Linked DNA regions of Lytechinus pictus. The protein of the gene in region 1 binds, or shares a complex with, the protein of each later gene. Links are inferred from orthologs where the notes say so. Each region holds a gene or a part of one and is shown on either strand. Other genes may lie near its edges. The genes, in order: elongation factor 1-gamma-like, elongation factor 1-delta-like and elongation factor 1-beta-like.

Region 1 (7,910 bases):
CCATGTTAAAATGAACAAGACATCTCGGAAAATGTCAAATTATACACGTTTAAATTTGCAGTATTTGACAAGTCTTGCTATACAAATTACACAATAAATTAAACAACATTTATACAACAGTTGCAATGTTGTGACCATAACAGCTATAGCTCCTATCTTTTTGAAAACGATGTAAAGGCAATACCCAAGTGAATTGGCAACAAAATCAAACACATGTTTTTTTTAAGGCCAATCTCCTAGGCCCTAAGAATGCCTTTCAATAAGGCTAAGTATATAAACCACAAAAATACTGTATAACCTACCATAGTATGCAATAGCATTACTCTCAAACAATGTTGTTCCACTTCCATTCTCAAAGGCTGGAACCTAAATGAAAAAAAAAAAAATTTAAGTTAAACATTAGTTCTGGTCATGAAAGTAAAATCTGGAGGAAACTGTCAAAAGTGATTGGGAGTGGTCATAAACATAGGGACAGTGATTTTCCATGATCACGGAAAACAGACGGAATTCACGGAATCGACCTTTTGAAACGGAAAGTGGCTTTTCAAACTAAAATCACGGAAAACATATTTTTTCTCAAAATGCACAGAATAGCAACAGAAATTACTCCAAAATCCTCAACGAAATACGAATATCAACTGGTCAAAAAACACGATCTCACTTCGCTACAACAATCATGACAATCCACACATCGTGACTGCACTCGAGCGAGTCGAGCCCCTCCATCACTTAAAATTAGTTTACACTCACGTCCGCATGAAGGCAGAAACATGGCCGTGTGTTGCTGCCCTCTGCGTTCTATCATAATATCATATCGCGGTATTCCTCAAATCCAAAATGGCGGATAGGCGAAAGTCGTTGATTGCTCAAAAAGATGTCCAAAAAGTCCCCAAATCATCGATAAAATCTCATTTAACCACAAAATAATGCTAATAATGTGAAAGGTGAGGATGTATTAATAGCGTTGTTAGTAAAGTGGCAGATACAAAGTTTGACCAACACAAGTATTTTTACATCACTACTCATTGCGTATTGATTTTCTATGTAAACGGAATTGTCACTCTTTCATGTACACAAAGTCTATGGGGAAATAGAATTTCCGTTTTCAGACATGCTGAAACAGAATTCAAGCTTTTCTTAAATTGAAAAAGTAAATTTTAGAAACGGAAAATCACTGCCCCTAGAAACCTGAAAATTTTAAAATTTAATTAATGCAATGATAGGGGGAGGGGGCCATTATGCCCATTAAAGATAAATTTATATTAAATACATTCTGCTTACCACCTTTCAAAAAAATATGCCGGGAAAATAGTGAATTTTTATTACAAATAGATCAGGATCAGCCAGGTTCTTCTTCGATCGCCGTCAGCGCAGCTACAGCTGAGCGTACGGCCGTGCCAGTGGAATGGCTGGCATGTTCGTACGCTCAGCTAGCTGTAGCTGCGCTGACGGCAATCGAAGAAAACCTGGGGCCAATTGCACAAAAAGGTCTTTGCAAGAACCGTCTTTCGTGTCGCCCATTTATCATGATGCAACATGTGAAACGCATTTTAAATAAATTGCCTGCAAACATATTTCATTCATCCGTTAAAGTAAACAAAATCTTTGTTTATAAAATGATGTGATGTATCATGAAATTGTATACAAATTGATTTAAATGCTAGCTAACAAATTTTCTTTGTTTATCATACATTTAAGAAATATCCCGCATACAGCGCATCATAAAAGACGGGCGACACGAAAGACGGTCCTTGAAAAGACCCTTTCGTGTAATCGGCCCTAGCCTGGCCTTGAGGCTCCTAGAGAGTAAAAATCATTTACTAACGCATGCTTACTCTCAACGGAGCCTGGAATTGCTTCCCATAGTTACACGCACCGCCCAAAAACCTGAAACTTTCGCCCCCGAGATTTCTACTTTCCTTCTAAAAAAAGATCTAGCCCTAAATCATGTACATGGGATGGGATACAACTTCATTTCCAACATTACTACGATATTGATTTCATTTTTAAACAAGAATTCATTGAAGAAACAAGAAAAATGTTATGAAAAGACGGGAAGAACTTGCCACCGTGCTTACGTCGCCATCTTGATTTCATTGTCTTGCCAAATTCGCGCATGCGCCCAACAGCCTCGATCGGCCATTTTGTTTTGAATTTTGAAAGGAAAGCTACCGCGACAGAACTTTTCGTTTTTTGAGGTTCCAGTCTGTGCCTCGATGTCAGGAAGCTGCCACTCGTTAGGCCTTCATCCATAAAATCGTGGTAAGTGCTTAATTTCTGTTTTAACTATTTATTCGGATAATTATTTAGACCATACTTCACGCTACTACCGTGGGTATGGTGAATTACACGGTAAGCCCCTGGGCTCCGGCCCGCACAGCGGGCCGGAGCTCCCTGGGTTAGGCTTCGTGTAACCCAGGGAGCTCCCGCCCGCGCAATTCATAACAAAAATGTCCGATCGAGACGGGGGCAGAAGGAGAGAACTTTTCATTTTTTGAGGTTCCAGTCTGTGCCCAGATGTCAGGAAACTGTCACTCGTTAGACCTTCATCCATATACCCTAATGGGCTAATAATACCGTAATCGTGGTAAGTGCATAATTTCTGTTTTCACAATTCATTTGGAGAAATATTTAGACCATAATTATAAATCACCCTAGTCCCGTGAGTATGGTCAAATACACGGTAAGCTCCTGGGCTCCCGCCCGCGCAGCGGGCGGGAGTTTCCTGGGTTAGGCTTCGTGGAGAGTAAGCATACGTTAGTAAATGATTTTTACTCTCTAACGTTAGAAGCCTCCTGGCTAGGCAGGCATGCAAACAAAATGAAAAAATGTTTCACTTTCACTTTCAGATACTGCCGTTACTTTGTATTTTTCAATTTGATTCACCACAGCACTCAAAAACTGTCATCAATGGTGTTGACTCCCAAATTAAAGCAAAGCCCTTCGTGACTGACAGAGAGAGAAGGAAAGAGAGAGAGCGAGGCCTACCTTTCCCAACGGGAATTTCTTCAGGAAGTCGGCTGACTTGTTGGTCTCGCCAAGCTTGAAAGCCGGTGGGTCCTGCACAACGGTCAGCTGTGTGCCGCTGTAACCAGCAGCGATCTGGATCTTGTATGCCCGAGTATTTTCGGGATAGGTGTACAAAGTCTGCAAAACAAGATGATAATGAATAGATCATCACAATATTAAGTATTATATCAACACAAACAAAGGTATTTTAGAGCGTATATTCATAAGATGAAAGAAATATAAGTGGATATAAATCAAGATACACGTGTGGACTTACCCCGGAAGCCATGGCTGCTAGCTGGAAAGACCGTGTTGACGTTGCAAAAAGAGAAGCAGAATAGCTGCGCGAACAACACGCCGGGAGATCCCCCTCCCTCTGTATACGTATGTAGCGGCGTAGTCAGCTGCCGGCCTGCACATGTTCCAGTGACAATAGCTACTTTTTGATTTATGTACGGCCTGAAACCGGAATAAAATTATTACTTCCTGAAGTCATCTGAACGAAACACAATCGAAGAAACATCAGTCCTGTTTAGAATTCTCAGTGAGTTCAATTTTGTATAATTAATTGCAATGTTATGCTCCAAAACTAACGTTGCAAACATCTTCAGTCCCATGCATGCACATTTACGTTTTTGATAATAAAAGCATGCCATAAAAACACACTAACTAGAAAATTAACTTCGAAATTTTAGTCATAGAAACTACATTGGGTCACATTGTTGATAAAAGTTGCAGTGGATAGCTAGAAAAAAGTAGAAGATTTTGAGGTAAATTTTCCATTATGTTTTTTTTATTATATTAATTAGGCCTAGTAGTAGTATTTAGTAGGCCTGGGTCTGAATTAACGGACGGAATACCAGAATCTGATAAAAAAATATCTGTCCAATGACATGTATCAGGTTCTGGTTTTTCTTATTTCTGGTCCTGTATTCCAATGAAACAATGTAGTTTAACATTTTCTTAACCCTTAAAGAACTGGGGGGCCATGATGCCCGGCCCCCCCCCCTTGACGCTTTGCGCGATATTTCCGAAGCGCAAAAAGATAGCGCCACAAAATTTTGTGCCTCTTTTTTGTCACTGAAGTTTTGCGCAACTATTGAGACCAAATTCGTGACATATGATATGGGTATAGCTTCGCGACGTCATCACATGACTTTTTACGAGACAATGTCGTGCCGAAAATGGCCCATTTTTATACTTTTTGTACAAAGACAAAGTCTATTTTGAGATGAAATTCATAAAAGGGTGGATTATTTTTCATTCTAATTGGTCTGCTTAATTAATTTAGGTTTTAATTTAGTTGTTAAATGGACTGTAATAATTCCCATTGAAAAAAAAAATACAAAGAAATACATTGTATATAAGAAATTCTAAAAACAGAGAAAAACATGAGGAAAAAATTGGCTTTTGCAATTTTTCTTTGTGGAAACCTTTAATTAAGTTAGATTTCAAAGATGACATTTGGAAAAAAGGAAGAAAACTTGAAGTGAAATCGGGTGTAAAATATGCAAATAATGTTTTTCATGAATAAATTTGCATATTTGATTCATAATAAATAAAAAATAATTATTTTCAGATTTTTTCCTATACTAGCTTGTAGTTTATGTGATAAAGAATGTGCGTGCCAAATTTCGGCGCAAATGCGTGTACGGCGGCCGAGATCAGAAGGGGGGGGGGACCATCATGGCCCCTCCCCCCAGTCCTCAATACATCTCAAATAGCCCAGTCCTTTTAGGGTTAACATAATGATTGAGCAGAGTATGTTTTATTCAGTCTTACCAATTATAACCAGACCAGTAGAGGCGCTGGTCAGAAAATTAGGATTGTCCCACTCCTAGTTTACACTCGGGGATGTACTGCCTCAGGTTTCAAAGATTTCTTCACACAAGAAATCTAGGAAAGTTCATTCACCTGTCAAGTGCTGACATCAATCAAGTGTGCGAGTAAATGTAAACTTGTTGGGTTTCATAACAAGTTTATTGGAAGACGGCAAGTCGTGAAAAATAGATGGTGAACTGGAGGGAATGGAGGTCACTGAATGTATTTTATCGCTCTCAGTCTCCGTAATTGTCATCTATGTCCCGCAGGGGTAAGTGAAGAAAAAAACTGTCTGCATAAACAAAGACAATCTCAATTTATCAAGACAGGATTTGCATTGGTTTAGGATATCCTTGTTTTCTGGGACAATCCCAATCTTTGGACCAGCGCCTCTACTGATAACTGGTTTCTTTGTTACATTTCAGGTGACCACCGAGAAAAATATGATGAGAAGAAGGGGAAAAAACTTGACGATTACGACTTGACCATCTTGTTCTCTTTGTTAGTAGCTAAGCTACGAGACACATATAGAGTCTGCCGCCCTCTATAATCTATATGCGTCTCGTAGCTTAGCTACTTATAAAGAGAACAAGATGGCCACGTAAACATCAGCAAGTTTTTTCCTCGTCTTCTCTTAATATTTTTCTCGTTTTTTTAAATGAATTTTTGGTTAAAAATGAAATCAATATTATTGTATAATCTGTGACTTATTTGTACTTCCCCATTCGTGAATTCATTTATCGGGATACCGGATTCGGTCCGGTGCAACACCAGTGGATTCCGGAACAAAAAAATTCCAACATGACTCAGGCCCATTATAAGATTGAGAACAACATGAACAAAGAAAGTCAAAAAGTTTAATTCAATAATCTAAAACGTTAAGACACTCGCTTGTGAGAAGAGTCCGCATTTATTGCGAAATGTAAAGATGAGACTAGTATGCCTGAAGGCATATACAATATAAGTAAAAGAGTTTGGCTTACCAATATGGGCTCTAGCCTCAAATTAAGTAACGGTAGTTTCTTCACCTTGAATTTATTTTGCAGCAAATTAGGATTTATCAATTGCAATTTTCAGCTTAATTGCAGAATACCCCACCACTACGAAATTGACCACACACCATATTAGAAGTATATGACAAGTATGCCTCATTCTAAAAGTTTTGGGGTACTGAATTGAATATTTGAATTCGGCCTAGGCCTAACCCTTTTAAAACACAATTTTATCTCTAAATGTATGTACCATCATTATTTATGTTATTTTATATTATAATATGATTGCCTTTATGTATTGTACATATGCTTCATTCCATTGCGGCCACTTAACTTTAATAACGTACACCTAATACTGATCCATTCAAACCTACCAGGCAGCCTTGCTACCAGGATCTACGTATGATAATAAAAATTGTCATTGTTACACTTACACTCATACACTCTCTCTCTCGCCCCCGATCTTTCCGCTCTTCCTCCTCTTGCTCTCTACCTCTCTTTTTTCTCTTTCTCATAGTCTCTTTTCCCTTTTTCCTCCCGTGCTTCTTTCTGGTTAGTCAGAACTCATTGTTATGTTTTTTGGCTGCATGTATTTTAAGTTTTGGCTTATCATAATGGGGATGCATGTCATAATATAATACATGTGTCCCCAACATGATAAACAAAATTTCTATGTGTTTTGCTGTAGAATTTGTGCTTTTTTATTTGATGTTGAATGTATTTTTATGTAAATTTTGTAAAGGGTTCTGCAATTAGGCTTTTCAGCCGCTATAGATACCCTAATTGTTGTAATAAGCCGTTTTAAATTAAAAAAAAAAAATTTGCTCTTGTTCCTAGTTTTTGATCTGATAGCGCAAAATCATCACAAAAAATCTAGATAAAGGTTCCTTAAAGGGGAATTCAGTATATGGTCATAAAATGTTGTGTTGGAGAGGAGAAAAATAAATAGAATAGAATGGTGAAAGTTTGAAAGAAATTGGGACAAGCAATTAGAAAGTTATGGCTGCTATAAAATTGAGATCCCTAAGACTAGATTTCAAATTGGCAACTGGGTAAGTAAATTATGACCAGGGGCAAGGACTACTTTCCCCATAGGCCATGTACTTAATTTTCAGGGATTAATGGTTTTCTCCTAAGTACCCATTCCCATGAGGCGCTAGTCTAAATATAACCCAGGTAATGTATTGTTTTATGTCCTCATGAAAGAAAAATATAATTTAAACTTCAAAGTAAAACTTTTGAAAAAATGACATTTTAGCAATTTTATGCATTGGAGTACAATGGAAGAGTAGTCCTTGCCATACATCACTATGACATCACATATGCGGCCAATTTGGAGTCTCCATGGGTTTAGTGATTACCAATATTTTGATTTTTTGAAATTTCACAACTTTCTTATTGTTTGTCTGATATTGTTCAAACTTTTACCTTTCAACTCGTCTAGTTTTTCATTTTCCTTTAAAACAAGTTTTTATTTGGGTTGTATTCCCCTTTAAAGTGATAACCTCTTAGAGGGATAGTTCACCCTAACAAAAGGTTTATTGTTAAATACAAAGAAAAACATTGATGAAAGATTGAGGAAATCTATTAAAGATTAAGACAGTTCCTAGAAAGAATATAAACTTTTGAATTGTGATGTCATCCGAGCAGCTGCCCCATATGTTATAAAATGTTTCAATTTCAATATTTTTAAGGGTTCATGATAAATAACAAATTTCTTCTCTCAGGAGCGGATGTGAAATATTTTTTCTGTTGATATACTGAAGTTACAAAATAACCCATTTTCAAATTTTGAAAAAATGACATTTTTATTGATTTTTAAATATATGATACATGGGAATCTGCACGCATATGACATCATAATTAAAAAAAAATAGAATTCTAATAAATTTTTAAATCTTTAATGGATTTTCCTCGAACCCTCACCAATATTTTTTAATGATTTTTTCTGCATTTTCTACAATAACTTTTTGTCAGGGTGAACCTTCCCTTTAAAACCTTGGTACTTCTTCTGGAGTCACTACACAAGGCTTGTCCAGTGCTGGCTTTGGGTTGAAAGACATTGTCTGGTCCTCTCTACAGTCGCAG
Region 2 (8,041 bases), on another chromosome or scaffold:
TTTGTATCCTATCTCATTCTCAAATTTGAATCTGTTTTTTCTAGATCCCCTGCAACTGTGCAAGTCAGGTTCAGAAAAAATTCAAGATCTCGAGCTACATTGTACCATGCGCCGCAAAGTAGGGTGGGGCATAGACAGCTGGCAGGCGTCTGTTTCGAGGAGTTTCTTAACATTTTTATTTTTTTAAAACTTCTCCTTGTACACAGACAGCTCGCTATCATGCAGCCACCATTAGGGGGTTAAAAATGCAAAATCCCCCCGACGGGGCTCATCGATTTTTGTCTTTATTTCATAAAAATATATAAAAAGAACTGTACCAAAATAAAGATTGTTAATATTATTCTGTTTTGGCCTGAAATGCACCAAAACAGGGAAAAATAATCTTAAAAGGGGGAAAAACAGTGACTTATTAATTCGGCTGTTGCGCCACTTCACTTCCCTGTTTTATCCAAACTTAATACATAAACATATAGCCATTAAGTCCCTGTACATATCGAGCTAGAACTTCGGTCTCTGTATTTGGTGAGTGAAGCCAACGGAGTTCAGCGGAACCAACATATTCCAGAGACCGAAGCTTTTGGTCTAGGTGGGGCATTGGGTAGTGTACGGTATGGTAGTGGATCATATTTCCGAACACTTTCCATGAATTCAATCATATCAAACACATTATTCTCTTAAAATTCATCAAACTTTCACCAAAAATACACTATTACTTACAAAATAAAGATATGTAAAAATTTTGCCGAAATAGTTTTTCCTTTTTACGATATTAGCTTCCTATCGGACCCTTCTTCGCATGTGAAATTTTTTACCACTTGAAAAAGGTATCGTATTACCGAACGTGTGTTTTCTATAGGAAAAATTGAGAAAACAACTAAATCACCGATGAGCTATTTTGACCATATTTTATTATTTTTAGAATATCAAGACTTTGAAAATGTGTTTTTGACAATTTTTTCATCATCTTTCTATTCAAGTTCCCTTTGCACAGCGACAAATTGTGTACAACGGATAGCTGAGCGTTCAATGCTAGTGGGCGTGTACATTTTGCTTATTACATGACGTCATCCAGCCACTGCCGAGAGCCAATTTATGAATGAAAATACAGTAAGCATGCGCAGTGCAAGCCTTCCACTTCCCCACACAGTATTCCACCAAAACAACAAGTGTGCAATTCTCTATCACCTCGTACCAAAATCGACCTAGAATTTCACTTTCCTATATTTTACATGAATTATGAAAGGTTTTCTCGGAGGATCTATTTTCTCACCGATACCACACAGGTAAGTGAATTTCGATTACTTCTTGCTTTTCAGTCAAATTCTTACGAATTAGCATCGATATGGCATCGTATTTGTTGGAATTTGTAGTCTATCGCAACGTGCACAAAGTCAATTGGCTTCCGGGTTTCGGAGCGTCGCGTGAATATGCATGAAATTGCAGAGTTTCGATAATTTTCGATCGATACCGGAGCGATCCGATCACGAACCAAGACCATTTCCCGCGTACTCAACGTCACCGGATATCGTTATCGCTATCGATACTTCCGCACGCAGTCCGAAGGAATTATTTTGGCGACCACGTAGTCATGACGTGATCTGCGCGATTGACCAATCAGCGGTATCCGAATCGCTGTGCGGAGATGATCTATCCGTTGTACACAGTCTATGGACGATTTGTCGCTGTGCTTTGGAAGGATGTTGCAAAGTTTTGAGCATATGAAATTATTTTCTGACACATACGATGCGCGTGTTCGGTAATACAAGGCCGGTCGGTAATACAATCACTCCCTATACCCAAGGACCAAAAAAGAAGAAGGGAGCCCCGCCCCAGCCCGATCGACTGGGCCAGGGCGGAGCTCGTGCGTGCCCCACTGCGGAGTGCGATGGGCTGGTTAGCGGCAGATTTAGTTCCACCGGTGGATACCAATTCCGCCAGCAGATATTGCTCATACTCGGATTCTTGTTGGAACCATATCCGCAGATTTGATGTTTGCACATTTGGTTCCTCGGCGAATTTGGTTCAATTCAGATTGACTAAGCTACGTGACGTCTACGTGAATCATATTGAGATCACCCTCCGGCAGCGCATGCGCGGCTCTGGCCGGCAATATCGGGGGGGGGGGGGGGGGGGGGGGGGGCTAGTGAGTTTGCGCGCCGCGGCCACGACCACATACCTGATGATACGCTACTAGACCAAAAGCTTCGGTCTCTGTTATGTTGGATGTTCAGCTGAACTCCGTGGGCTTCACTCACCAAATACAGAGACCGAAGTTTTAGCGCGATCTGTACAGGGGACTCAATGGCCATATGTTTATTATTAAGTTCAGATAAAACAGGGAAGTGAAGTTGCGCGACAGTCGAGGTAAGTCGCTGTTTTTGTTACTTTTAACTTGATTTTTCCCCTGTTTTTGGCAATTAATGCCCGGCAAGAGGGAATATTAATTTGCATTTCTGTCGCGTTAATTTTCAAAAGTTTTATTCATTAAAGACAAAAATTGAAGAGCCCCGACAAAGGATTTTGCATTGTAAGTACCCTAAATTAGCCTAATGCCAATGGTGGCTGCATGAAAGCGAGCCGTCTGTGTACGAGGAAAAAAAAAAACTCCTCGAAACAGACGGCTGCCAGCTGTCTAATACTAATACGCTGCCTACGTGCATGAATGATGCATCTGCTGAAGGGAAATTGTGGGAGAAATTGGCACTGAATCCGCCGGCGGATCATGTGTGCCTAGAACTTGTAGAAGCCAGTCACCAGATTCGCAGTTACACCGTCACCGACTGTCATGACGGTGCCGTTCCGGTACGCGACGCTTCCGGTACAAAGCGCGATCCCGACGGGAGGCGTCCCAACTGCCCAATTCCCAACATACACACCCCCGGCCCGACACACACTCGCAGTCATGGCAGTGCAGACTGCAGTGACTCGACTCGTGCAGTCGTGGGAGCGACTGACGAAAGAAAGGCAAATTTCCTGGCGAGAACGATAATATAATTACCAGAGAAGAGTTCCCATTAATGAAATATCAAATTTCATTTCATTTTCAAAAAAAAATATTTACATACATAAAGTAGAAACAACTTATTATCCTCAAATTATGTTTTGTAAAATTTACCGGCGTTTCCCGTCTGTGTACACGTGAATAAAAAGGCTGAAAAAGGAGAAAAGTGTGTGTGCGCCGGTATGGTATCGCTTCTGTAAAAATAAAAAAGACAATTTACATTTCATAATTTCAAGTCCTATCCTAGGCTATAGTTCACAGGCTTGTTACAACTTCTTGTTTTTAAGATAAACCTTTTTTTACTTGTACGCTGTAAGCAAATTTTATCTGATGATGTACATACACTTGAAAATTGCACTTCACCAGTAGGACAATCCACCGATGGCTTGCCGTGTACAGAAGAAGAAGAACTTTCACAATCAGGTCGTGATATGAAACAAAAGGAAATGATTTTAAAACGGCACTCAGTTTTTAGTTTAGATTAATCACCCTCCGCTCCCCTAATACTTGATCCTAAAGAAATGGAATATTTACTGCATCATATGTGTGACAATTCAGGCTTTTAAAATATTCAGCAAATTACAATGTACGACTGTAAAAAATATCTTTGAATTACGGTATATAAGTAGAATGATTGTAATTATTTCTCGATTTTTTCAGTAGGTTTAACTTGTCTTTCAATTTACTTGGTTTATTTGGGTTCAAAATATATAGCTTGCTTCGATTAAGTAAATCTAACTCCAATTAGGCAAAGATAATTATTACTTATAAAGTCATGTTGAATGTACTTATATTTTTCAATCAGTAACGCCGCCGCCTTATTCAATAATTCATTATCAAGTAAATGTTAAAATTTTTAAATAACTGTCATATCTATGGTGTGAAATTGTTTTGGATTAGAATGCGCAAAATATTTTATTCTCATGCAGCAGAATCAAAGAAAGAACAACATTAAATAGTCACTCATCTGAAAATTTCAGATTTCTTTTTAGGTTTGCGGAAAATGTAAATATTATTGTTAGAATGAACCGGTCGCCTATAAATATAACTGTCAGTAGTTCTCAGGACCTATCATGTACAGGTAAGTGACAATGCATATAGAGTCTAATATTTGGATAAAAGATGTCTATATAATAAGATGAAAATGATGTCACTGAAAGTGGGATGATGGGGGAGCGGATTTTCGAATCACGAAAGTCCACTCCGCCATTAAAAAAAAATATTTCAGTGATTGTTTTACTTAATTGAATTAAGTTGTTGTAACTTGATTTACCTGAATAAAATGTATTCCAAAAAATAAATAAATTTAACTAAAAACTGCTAAACTTATAAATACTTGAAAAAATTAAGGCATATTTTTTTGTCTCAATTTTATTGAGTAATTTCAAATATTTTTTTTAACAGTTTATTTCCAAAGTGTAATACTGTAGGCAGTGGCGTACCGTGGGTCACGGCATTGGGGGGGGGGGGGGGGGAGGCACCAGCAACAAGAATTGAGTCACTTAGTGCCAGGTATACTGACCTAATAGAGACATTTTAATGGCAGTACCATTAAACGGACATGTATCTCACTGATCAAATAATGCGAGCGCGAAGCGCGAGCAGATTTTTTTTAAATATTTAGACCTGAAAAGGGACATTATAAACAATTTTTTGTAATCATGATACGTACCTGTTCCGCTAAACAAACAATGCGAGCGCGAAGCACGAGCTGAATTTTGTGTAATAATTGATCCCATTAATCCATTAAGAGTATACATATCTCACCAAAATCATCTAATGCGAGTGCCAAGCGCTTGCTGATTTTGTTAGAATTACATCTTAACAAATGAATCACTTGTAGTCATTGTAATCATGATCAACATACGCATCTCACTAATCAAATATTGCGAGCGCGAAGCGCGAGCTGAAAATTTAGGGAATTCAGACCTGAAGAGGGGCATTCTAAGACTTGTTTGTAGGAATTCACTAAGACCATACGTATTTCACTATCCAAATGTGCGAGCTCGATCGAAGCGCGAGCTGAAATTTTTTGATATTCAGATCAGAAAAAGGGACATTTTAAGGACTGATTTTAGGATTTAATGAAGAGCAGACATCTCACCAATCCACTAATGCAAATGTAAGCACGGACAGGAAATGTTTTATATTAATACCTTAAAATGGGGCAATCACTTTATGTAGTCATGAAAAAGAAGCATATGTCACAACATAAAACAATAATAACTCGAAAAGCGAGGAAGTATATTTGGTGTATTGACTTGAAAACGGGAGGTTTTAGTAAAACAGGATTACATATCTCGTTAAACAGACAATGCGAGCAACAGGAACTATGAAGACATAGGCCTGAGAAAATTATGTTTCATAAAGTTATGAAAAAAAAGTTTTTTCTATGTAATATAACATAACATAATCATAATATAATATAACATTATAATGAACAATAATTTCTTATTTCCCACTACGTTTCTCTTTCTTTCTTTCTCTTTTTTTTCTCCTCCCCCCCTTTTTTGGCCAGCCGATTGGGGGGGGGGGGGGGCACGTGCCCCCCATGCCCCCCGTAGATACGCCACTGACTGTAGGGCCTATAATGGTCATATTCATCCCTTGAGAGCGATCAGGGCCCGGAAACGATTTTTAGATAGGCGGTGCTTGGGGTTTGGTCGTCAGAAAAATTGTGCTCCGTCATTTTGTTTTTGGGAGCACAATACCCCCTCTTTTTTGCTTCTCAACCTTATTTCCATGCAGGGAGTGCTGCCTATTCTTTGCACAACGCAGCACTCCCTGAAAAATCTTGCGTCCCGCTTCCCAGCGCCATGGAAAGTTGGAAGCGATTGCCTTTTTTAAAAATATAATTGTCTGATTTTCTTGGAGGAAATTTTCGTCGAGAACCAAATTTTTGAAAAAAATATTAACCCGGGATTTAAAAAACCTCATCGGATGTTGGCTTAATGCTAAATTGTATAAAATGCTTGATTGGCGGCACCGGTAGTAGCGCCAGTAAGACAGGGGCCGCGGAATGGTTTTCAAAGTGGGGGAGGCTGAGCCAAAAGGGGTGGGGGGGGGTGACCATGCTAAAAATCACAATCATATGGTCATTTTTACGTTTTTGTACACGGTTTTGGAAAAAAGTGGGGGGGCTGAAGCCCCCCCAGCCCCCCGGTTCCGCGGCCCCTGTAAGAGGGGGGGGGGGGGGCAAGTGTGGAGGGCAATAAAAGTGTTTGTGGAGGGGGGTGTCGGATAAAAAAAAGTAAATTTGAATTATTACAAAAGTACGCGAAGGTCCCAATTCGTCTATTGCCAACTCGTCCACTCATCACATGGTCTAACTTCATTTAGTCTAATGCCATTCGTCCATCAACATTTTGTCTAACAACTATTTGGTCCAATCATCACTTTGTCTAATAATCACCCGTTCGTCTATATGACAGTTTCGTCTCATAGTTGGTCTAATATCCAATTTATTTTCATTCATTTCTCCCAACTACCACAGACCATGTGGATCGTGGACGAACTGATGGTAGACCAAATGATAGAAGACGACTTGGTATTATACTTATAGACCAATTGAAAATAAACCAAGCGAACAGCGACCGAGTGAGACAGTGTTCAAGTTTTGAAGAGTGAAATATACATGTATAGAGCACATTACAGATTGAATGATTATTGAAAGCACAAACGCACTACCTGATATTATTCTACATAAATTCTTCAGTTTTCAAAATTTGGGGACGAGGAGGAAACAAAGTTAAGGACCAGGCGATGATTTTTGAGAGGGGATGCTAGTTTGAAAAAAAAAAGACAAGAAAAAAGGGGACTCGCTCACAAATGAAGGTGAATGTGGCCGGAAGCAAAAAACTAAATACATAAAAAATCCACAAGCGCCCCCCCCCCCGTAAAAAAGGGTTTCGCCTAAAAATGAAGGGGATTTTGGTTAAATTTCTCCTCTTAGGCATACCCAATCTGATTTCCAGGGGGTGCTGCCTATGCCATGATGTATGCAGCACCCCCCCCCCCCGACAAAACTTTGGGTGCTTCAGCACCCTATGCGTTTTAAATGAAATATATATCTTTTTAAATGAATATTAACAATTTTGGATGGTTTTATGTGAAAGTAAGAAAAGTAAATCATGCATTCGGAGGGCTGGGGATCAAGCTTCCTATATCTGTCCTTCCTATGGACGACTTATATCTTCATCACTTTGTTATAATACACAATGGGTATCATATATATATTTTTATCAAATTTGTATATTGAATAGAAATAAAGTAAATAATTATCTACTTATAATAATAAAATACAAAGCGCATTTTGAGAAACGAAGAAACAGTATAAAACAAAACCTGAATTTATAACAAGTTGGAATTGATTCTAAACTATTTCATTCCAAAATTTTCAACAAAATTACAATTATATCAATAATATGGGCCGAGTGATTATTATTTTAACCAAGTCCACACTCATCTAAACATTCCAACTACCAAGGCCCTGTGAACGATGGGGGTGCTGATGTAAATTTGAAAAGCAAAAAAAAAAAAAAAAAAAAAATGTTTTCACTACAAAACGGAGGTCATTTTGATCCAGAGAAATTTGACAAAAAAAAAGGTTTTACCTAAAAAAGTACCTCATTTTGCCTACATTTTTCAATTTTTCCACCCCATACCAGAAGCACTCCTACTTGCCCGCTCAGTTCCCAAGGCCATGCCAACTAAAAGTGGGAAAGAGGAGGAAGACGAGTGAATAAAATAAGATGAGGGGAAGATTTGAAGAAATACAAAAAAAATCATGTCACTAATAAAATTTTCAGTTATATAGTTTTCAATTATTTTCAGTTCGAGCTTCACGCTCGCATTATTCATTTTCATGATAACAAATGTATTTAGAATGCCCAGATAGGCCTCATATACGCACACGCATGTTTATTGAGATATATGCAGCTTATTCTTTATTTACAACATGCTTAAATTATCTAGTTTCATATCAGAATATCCAATATTTTCTGCACGCGCTTCGCGTTCGTATTATGTATGTATAGGAAG
Region 3 (8,149 bases), on another chromosome or scaffold:
TTTTTTTTGGCTGCCATTGATGCATTAGCCCCATTTACTGTACATTCATAAGGAAAAAAAGATAAATTACACACACCTAGTAAATGTGGAAGAATACGACTTGACTTGATTGTACCATCTGAGTGCGTTGAAGAGGTCTGCTGCTGGGCCCCCAGTCAGTGCTTTGAAAACGACAACATCAGCCTGGGATACAGTGTACCTGAAATTGGAAGAGAAAAGTAACTAAAGGTAAACTGATGTAAATTCTTTTCATTCATTCGGGTGTGTATACTATAAATACATAAAGGTTTTTTTTTTCATGAGGGTAGTAACAAAATCTGTAACCACAAGCTACATTGTACGTTGATTGAGTCTAGATGCAACTCACAATAAAAATAACCCTTTTAATTCAAAGTAGGTTCTAAAAATAAAATAATACTAGGGTGGCACCAGATTTGTGCTGTAGACATGTGTCAAAAAGTCAATAGGTGAACTTGCCTCAAATTTTCATTCTATATTTTGAGTGAACAATGTAGTTAAATGTGGCAACATTTTCTGGCAGCCAAGTAATGTGACATGTTTCCATGGCTCCTCACAGAGGCTCAAACAGTCTATAAAGACTTAAAAATGCCTATTTTCAGCCACTAGCCCACAAAGTATAGCCTATGGCCTGGGGATGGGCCAAAATGCTGTATGTATGCATTTCCAGACACATTTTATGGCGCATTTAAGCCTTATTTCTAACTATTTAGTAGGAAATTTCATGGTCAGTTTTGAGCAATGTCTTTGACAATATAATGCTAATAAAGAATATATAATAAAGGTAACGCTTTTTAGTAGAAATGCCGTTTCATTTTTTTTTGCCCTATCTAATAGTAATTCAAGATTTGTATAGCGCACTTTCCATGTTGATCTTAATTAGATGCTCAAGGCGCTCAGAGCGGAATAAAATAATTGTTTTCTAAAAAAACACATAAAAAACAATCACATTCTTTTTATGTAGGCCTACAATAGGCTACATGTATGTTGATTTAATCTTAGACTAGGGTGTCTGGAGAATTTTTTTTTCTTATTTCAAGGAAATATCACATTTTCTTTGTGAATTTGAAGAGAAAAAACCTTCAGACTGATAGAAATGTAATATTTTTTGAAAAAATCCAATTATTGGCTGCAAAAAAGAAGAATGAAATTAGGTCAATTTTCAGCATTTCCCTGCCATATTACTGTGTAGTTAAGAAATGGACACACACAAATCCTAATTTTTAGCTTCCGAGAGCTGTTATAAATTTATTATTAATGCCAAAAACTTGTCCATAAAGTGTCTAGTAGGAATTTTTATGCTCTTTCCGATGGTATGATTTTTATAAAGATTTGGAAACCAGATCACAATGAAGAATTGCGACAAAGTGAAAAAATTTGTGCAAAACAGAAATTTCATTTTCCCATAGAAAATGCATGGGGAAATAACAATCTCAACACACAGACAAATAAGGGTTTGCAATTTATCTCTAAATCCTTATTTCAAATAATCCTATAAACTTGTCCTTACTGTCAAAAGAAGCCCCTGAATTTTCTTTCAATACATGCCAAACAAAAGTTAATAATCAATTCAGATCACATTTTTTTAGCAGCCTGAATTTCCTGAAAAAAGTGTGCCATATTTTCCCCTAAATCAGCCTGTCTTATGCTGACACTTTTCAGTGTGGCTTCAGACACCCCACTTAGACAGGAAATAAACAACTAAAACCTGAAAGATGACTTGAATAAAATAAAAACAAAAGAAAAATCACACACCAAAATTTTTATTATCAAAAATGGATGTGAAATAAGAAAATTGTGTGAGTTTTCACAAAATGAAGGTGATATGACAGAGGTGCTGGTCAGAAAATTGGGATCGTCCCAGTTTACAGGGACTGTCTCAGTTTTCAAAGATTTCTCCACACAAGAAATCTAACGTAGGAAAGTTCATTCACCTGTGAAGTGCCGATTGATGTCGGCACTTCACAGGTGAATGAACTTTCCTAAGTTAGATTTCTTGTGACATCAATCCAGTGCACTAGTCAATGTAATGTAAACATATCATCAGGTTTCATAACAAGATTATTGGAAATGGAAGACAGAAAGTCATGAAATATAGATTATAGTCATAGACATAGTCCATAGACGGTGAACTGGGGGAATTGAGGTCACTTAATCTATTTTTAGCACTCTCAATCCCGCAATTATCGCTACCCCAAATAGCGATTTTGCCGAGATCCGGGAAAAATCCCTGTAACGCGCATTGCATTATGGGATAGCTTTTCGGTATTAAAACTTCCTGTTCGGAAGTCCAATGCACTGTTTTGCCATTCAGATCAACAGTGCCGTCATGCACAACAACACAACGTCGCTTTCGCTCGGAAAGTTCGTGATCACAACCCTCTCTTTCACGATACAGTTTAACGGCCTTTTCTGCTAAAGTCACTAATTCTGCCTGACGCTTTCCATTGCACGGTATTCCTCTGTCAGTTAAGATTTTTTAAAGTTCCAAAACTGATTTTTTTTTTATCCATTTTGTGGTCGACGAAAAATTGAACGGAATGAATGCTGTAGGCTATATATTAAGCGTCTAGTCGAATACGATCGTGATGTCAGGCCGGTCGCTAAATGCGAAATTTTAAGATACTCATTTTTTGTTTAATTTTTTATAACCAAATAAAAACATGAATAAAAACTATTTTCACATGAAATATATTTTTTATTTTTATTTATAATTCAAATGGAATCAAAACTGACCAAATTAGATAAAAAGTATTATAATCTGTACATATCGCTGATTGGCATCGATTTCAGCGTGGTGGAAAACTCAGTATCGCGAACCTCGCGCGAGCATGACTCTGAACCGGAAGTGGTGATGACGACCCGACGGAGTGAAAATAATCTCGTCTCGCGCATTATGAGATTTTTGTTCCTATTTGGGGTAGCGAGAATTGCTGTCCATGTCCCGCAGGGCTAAAGTCACTAAGTGAATGAAGAGAAACTGTCCCAATAAACAAGGACAATCTCAATTCATCAAGACATGATTTGTCTTGCCTTGGTTATGACATGATGAGGATATCCTTGTTTTCTGAGACTGAGTGAGAGTGAGACAATCCCAATTTTTGGACCAGCGCCTCTATCTACCTGTCTACTGACAGAACCAATCACACACAGCAGTATAATTATCAATAAAAAACCCATTGTGGTTTACTTTCGTATGCTAATTTACTATTAACATTTGATATCCCAATCATGCCTATGGTACCCATCTCAACTTGAACATCGCAGTGGCAGTGCAGGGCAGACACAGCACGCAGCTCAGACTCAGTTAACCCAGGGAGCTCCCGCCCGCGCGGGCGGGAGCTTCCTGGGTTAAGACTCAGTCAGCTCACGCCACGCCTCGCTAGACGCTACCTCGTATGTTGTTGAATCTTGTGAAATAAAAAGAAAATTACCCTTCAATGTAACTGCGATCTGATAGGAAATCATTAAGGGCACCGAGCCCACTGCTGCTTTTAAGATCACCGAAACCCATTTTTGCAAGATAAGTTTGTTAAAAGTCGGAGTTGAGACGAGCAGCAAGTGAATCACACGTGTACTTTTCAGGAAAGGATGAATAATTGGATGACTCTGGAACTGGGCACGCACAGCACACAGTATACATACATTGAATGTAAAAAAGGGGGGTTCAGCGAAAAAAAATCTCGCATGTGCGAAACGTCGATGCACTTGCGCTTTGCCAAACAAAACTGCAGTGCACTGCAAGTGCGAATGGAATTGTGAATGTGGTAAGGTGGTCGCCCAAAATTTGTCAAAATGAGTGATACACCAACTTACCGTAACTTAACAAATGGAGAATATGGGAGACCGAAAGAGTACCAGAACAAGGTTGATATATCATTCGTTTTAAATCTTGAATTTACCATGTAATAAGGAATGTTTCGTGTGCATGATTTGGTGTAGTGTGAGAAGTTGTAATATTGTGTACATTAAATCAATGCCACAGCGAACCGACCTGAGTGCGGATATTAGGCTCCATGTTATAGACAGCTGGCAGCCGTCTGTTTCGAGGAGTTTTTTAAAAACATTTTTATTTTTTTTTATTTCTCGTACACAGACGGCTCGCTATCGTGCAGCCACCATTAGGGGGTTAACAATGCAAAATCCCCCCGACGGGGCTCATTGATTTTTGTCTGACTTAATTTCATAAATATATAAAAAGAACTGTACGTGTACCAAAACTAAAAAAAGGCAAAATAAAGATTATTAATATTCCGTTTTGGCCTGAAATGCACCAAAACGGGGAAAAATAAAATTAAAAGGGGAAAACACAGTGACTTACCTCGGCTGTCGCGCAACTTCACTTCCCTGTTTTATCCGAACTAATAATTACATGAACATATTAATATTAATTATTATAAATGGCCATAATTGGGTCCCTGTACAGATTGAGCTACAACTTCAGTCTCTGTATTTGGTGAGTGGAGCCAACGGAGTTCAGCGGAACAACCAACATACCAGAGACTGAAGCTTTTGGTCTAGGTCCATGTTATGATTCAGTGACATAACTGACATACATTACAGCTGACGGAATATAATCTCCTCCACTCACCGGAGGAGGGAGACGAAGAAGTATGATTTCATCACCTGCAATTTTATTATCCTTGAGCTCCCTGGGTTAAGTTTTCACGTGCTACTACTTGCAAAAGCTATTGTAAAGTTAGATCTTTATAATAAGGAGAGCGTAACGTTAGAGCTTGAAGTTAATGTTTAAAAAAATTGAAAAATCTTATTTAGATACCTAACACGAACAAAAGATGTAGAGACTCTAGACTTTAAATCTGATTTTTGTCTCGTCGATCGTCAACAAGTCAAAAGTTTAACTTTTTGAAACCTGGACATATAGCTAGGAGTAGGATATTTAAGTGTCACCAATCATGGTTACTGATCATTTGAGTTTCAGGTATACAAGTCACATATCACAATTGGGGTCAATGAACTTTGTCCTTGTGGTACATGTATCTTAAATTTAACAAGTATAAGATATTGAATTTTTAAGATAATTTTGAGAAATGAGTACATGTACATGTTCATAAAACTGATGGTGATTGCAGGCCTGGCCTATGCTACTATTATGTTCTTCTTATCCTTGATGAAGTTAGAGGTTAATACATGGCTGGTGTTTACAATTGATTTTGATTCTGTCTTTTTTTTTCATTGTGAAAACAGCTCCTAGAAGATGCAGTGCGCCCTCACATTGAATCCTTCAATTACATGCTTGACGATGGATTAGCACAGGCAGTGAGGAACATCAATCCAGTGGAGTTCCTATTGGATGATGAAAGAATTTCACTTTCATATGAGGTATCATTAGAAAAGATTTGAATAGTATTTTGAAATCAAATAATATGATGAAATCTAATTTTTTTTTATCAGTATGAAAAGTTTGATTTGATCCAAAAGATTCCAGAGTGACTGTGGAAGAAGATAACACATGAAGTATTAAAAAAACAAAGTAAACATTGTACTTTTGCTTGATAGATATCAATGTTCTTATGTTTCTGAATAGCTGAGTAGTTTAAATGAGAGAAAGTTGGAGACAGAGTTTTACTCATGAAAACATTACTCTGGAATTGCCATTGCATATAAGTATGAAAATGGGGCATTATACTGGTACACTGTATATGCACAAGTATGGATTGCCATTAATAGTAATTTTCAGCTATCTTGTTTCATTCTAATTTCTAAAATGATTCATCTCCATCTTTACCCCCAAGTATTCCTTATATAAAAAAAGTGAAAAAATACTTCTTTCTACATTTTCCTTAAAATTCACATGAAATCCCGCCTCATCCCAAACTTAAAGGGGAATCCAACCCAAATAAAAACTTGTTTTTATAAGAAAAAGAAAAGTCAGACAAGTTGATAGGTGAAAGTTTGAACAATATTGGACAAACAACAAGAAAGTTATGAATTTTTCAAAGTTGGAAATATTGGTAATCACTATACTCATGGAGACTTCAAATTGGCCGCATATGGGATGTCATAGTGATGTAAGGCAAGGACTACTCTTCCATGTACTCCACTACATATTATGGCTAAAATGTCATTTTTCCTCAAAGTTTTATTTCAAATTGTATTTTTCTTTCATGAGGACATTTAACAATATACTACCTGGGTTATATTTAGATTACTGCCCCAGGGGAATGGGTACTTAGGAGAAAACCACAAATCCCTGATAATAAAGTACATGGCCTATGGGAAGGTTGTCCTTGCCCCTTGTCATAATTTACTTACCCAGTTGCCAATTTGAAATCTACATACTATTAGTGATCCCAATTTTAAAGCAGCTATGACTTTCTTATTTCTTGTCCGATTTATTTCAAATTTTCACCATTCTGTTTAATTTATTTTTCTCCTTCCCAACACAACATTTTATGACCAAGGCTGGATTCCCCTTTAATTTCATCTTTATCCTTTCTGGCCCATAGTATTCCTATCCCCTGGGTCACCTGTATATCACAATATGCTCTGATGTTGTGAATGTCCTGTTCTTAATTTTATTGTTATTTATGTTTTTTTTTTCATAGGATACATTCATTCTTTGTGATTGTTTTTTTTTTCATAGGATGCATTCATTGGTGTACCAACCATTGCAAGAGGAAACCTGTTTGCTTCTACTCTTAAAGTCTACCCATCAGAGGTAGGTTCAGGGTGACCGTTTCATTAAAGTTGTCAGCACTGACAAATTGATTGTCTCTGACAGTTACTATAGTAACAGTCAGAGGCCAGTGCCTCTCAGCCAATCAAAACCAAGGATTTCACTGAAATTATCAGTACTGATCCTTCAATGAAACTCCCAAAGGTCGCTTGATTTCTTTTCCTCTCATTGGCCCTGAGAAATTGGTTATTTTTATCTTTATTTATCATCGAATATCCTTGAAAATGTGTTGCGAAAGCCATCTAAATTTCAATGACTAAAATCAAATTTCAGCTATAGGTGAACAATTCGGGATTATGTGCAATGTACATTGTAGGCTAATCAAAATGCCATTTATAGGTAGATATGCTCTTCAGCAATATCTCGAAGTGGCGGGTTATCTGTAAAAGTTCATTTACATTTTAAATCTGTCATCAGGATCCACGATCAAAGATATGGGAATGTTGTTTAGTCTATAATGATAATGACGTCCTTTTATAGTGCGTAACACCTTATCAGAAGTCTCTAAGTGCTCAATAATGATGCAGGGTGATAACCCCAGCTTTAGCAGAGCAGCTGTTAGGCACACTCTGTTTCAAGGGCTAAATTCCTGCCAAGTCCTCATTTACATGTACCTCACCTGGGTTGATTGCAGCAAAATCTGGATTACTTTCTTGCCGAGGGAAATCAATACCGCTGTACATCCTGGAGAAGGATTGGAACCAATGACCCTCTTGGGGGAAATGTTGGAGTGAGAACCACTACACCATGGCAACACCTCCAGAGTGATTGTAGTTGCTTAAAAAAATAAATTTGTTTCCTTTTAGTGTCGACAGCGTGGGACGACGTACCAGGCCCCTCTTCAGGCAAGGGTGCTCTGGCAACGAAGCAATGGGGACAGTGGGAGTGTCATGCGTCCTCTGGGCCAGATACCCATCCTTGTAAAAGTAAGTCAATGAATCCAATCCAAATCCACATTTCATTGTTTGAAAATAGAAGTCTTCAAATAGAAATATTCCGAAAATTCTTTTTGCCCAATTCTTCTTGGCCCGGCAGCCACTGTGCAGCGTCAGATAAACGAGATCTATCCCTTCAATGTTGAACCCCAGACAGGGTAGCAGCAACTCCCAAAATACATCTTTTGGTCTGATGCTCCGGCGTTTGAACTCTCGACCTCCCGGTTGTGAGACGGACGCTCTACCAACTGAGCAAACACAGTACACCGCAATACAATTCAGGAAAGCTTTATCATACCTGCCAACTGTAAAGAGAAAGTACTAGTAGTATTTGTTGAAAATATGACATGAATAAGGTGGTACAAAAGGACATAAAAAGAGATGAATTGGTTTTGTACACTCTTGCACACATTTTTCTATTATTATGAATTCTTGAAACCTGCTGAATAAATGATTAGTAAAGAAATAAATGAATGAATTCTGTACTTTTTTTCAG

The links.
Region 2: the proteins of elongation factor 1-gamma-like (region 1) and elongation factor 1-delta-like are in contact, whole or in part, in a crystal structure (PDB 5JPO), measured with the Homo sapiens proteins. The link is inferred for Lytechinus pictus from reciprocal best matches to the Homo sapiens genes EEF1G and EEF1D. Residues at the interface, in NP_001395.1 of Homo sapiens: Tyr9, Trp13, Arg14, Phe40, Gly41, Asn44, Gly56, Lys57, Val58, Ser104, Val107, Pro108, Ser111, Thr112, Phe115, Ile120, Met121, His123, Asn130, Glu134; in NP_001123527.1 of Homo sapiens: Ala2, Asn4, Phe5, Leu6, His8, Glu9, Ile11, Trp12, Phe13, Lys15, Phe16.
Region 3: the proteins of elongation factor 1-gamma-like (region 1) and elongation factor 1-beta-like are in contact, whole or in part, in a crystal structure (PDB 5DQS), measured with the Homo sapiens proteins. The link is inferred for Lytechinus pictus from reciprocal best matches to the Homo sapiens genes EEF1G and EEF1B2. Residues at the interface, in NP_001395.1 of Homo sapiens: Leu146, Lys147, Thr148, Arg149, Thr150, Phe151, Glu155, Arg156, Pro185, Asn186, Arg189, Leu192, Thr193, Asn196, Gln197, Pro198; in NP_001032752.1 of Homo sapiens: Ala20, Asp21, Lys22, Ser23, Tyr24, Tyr28, Val29, Cys50, His51, Arg54, Asn57, His58, Ser61, Tyr62, Glu65.

What each region holds. Positions count from the first base shown.
Region 1 is NC_087251.1:26,859,455-26,867,364, forward strand, and holds the start of elongation factor 1-gamma-like, read right to left. Parts: upstream 3,653-7,910; 5' UTR 3,299-3,652; coding exon 3,287-3,298; intron 3,148-3,286; coding exon 2,989-3,147; intron 367-2,988; coding exon 303-366; intron 1-302. UniProt on the Homo sapiens protein: Probably plays a role in anchoring the complex to other cellular components.
Region 2 is NC_087255.1:10,468,237-10,476,277, reverse strand, and holds the start of elongation factor 1-delta-like, read right to left. Parts: upstream 3,194-8,041; 5' UTR 3,116-3,193; exon of another isoform or gene 2,999-3,115; intron 1-2,998.
Region 3 is NC_087257.1:11,051,031-11,059,179, reverse strand, and holds the start of elongation factor 1-beta-like, read right to left. Parts: upstream 3,673-8,149; 5' UTR 3,533-3,672; coding exon 3,453-3,532; intron 200-3,452; coding exon 77-199; intron 1-76. Other genes in the region: DNA-directed RNA polymerase I subunit RPA2-like, read left to right, coding at 3,814-3,885, 5,227-5,361, 6,626-6,700, 7,525-7,644. UniProt on the Homo sapiens protein: Catalytic subunit of the guanine nucleotide exchange factor (GEF) (eEF1B subcomplex) of the eukaryotic elongation factor 1 complex (eEF1).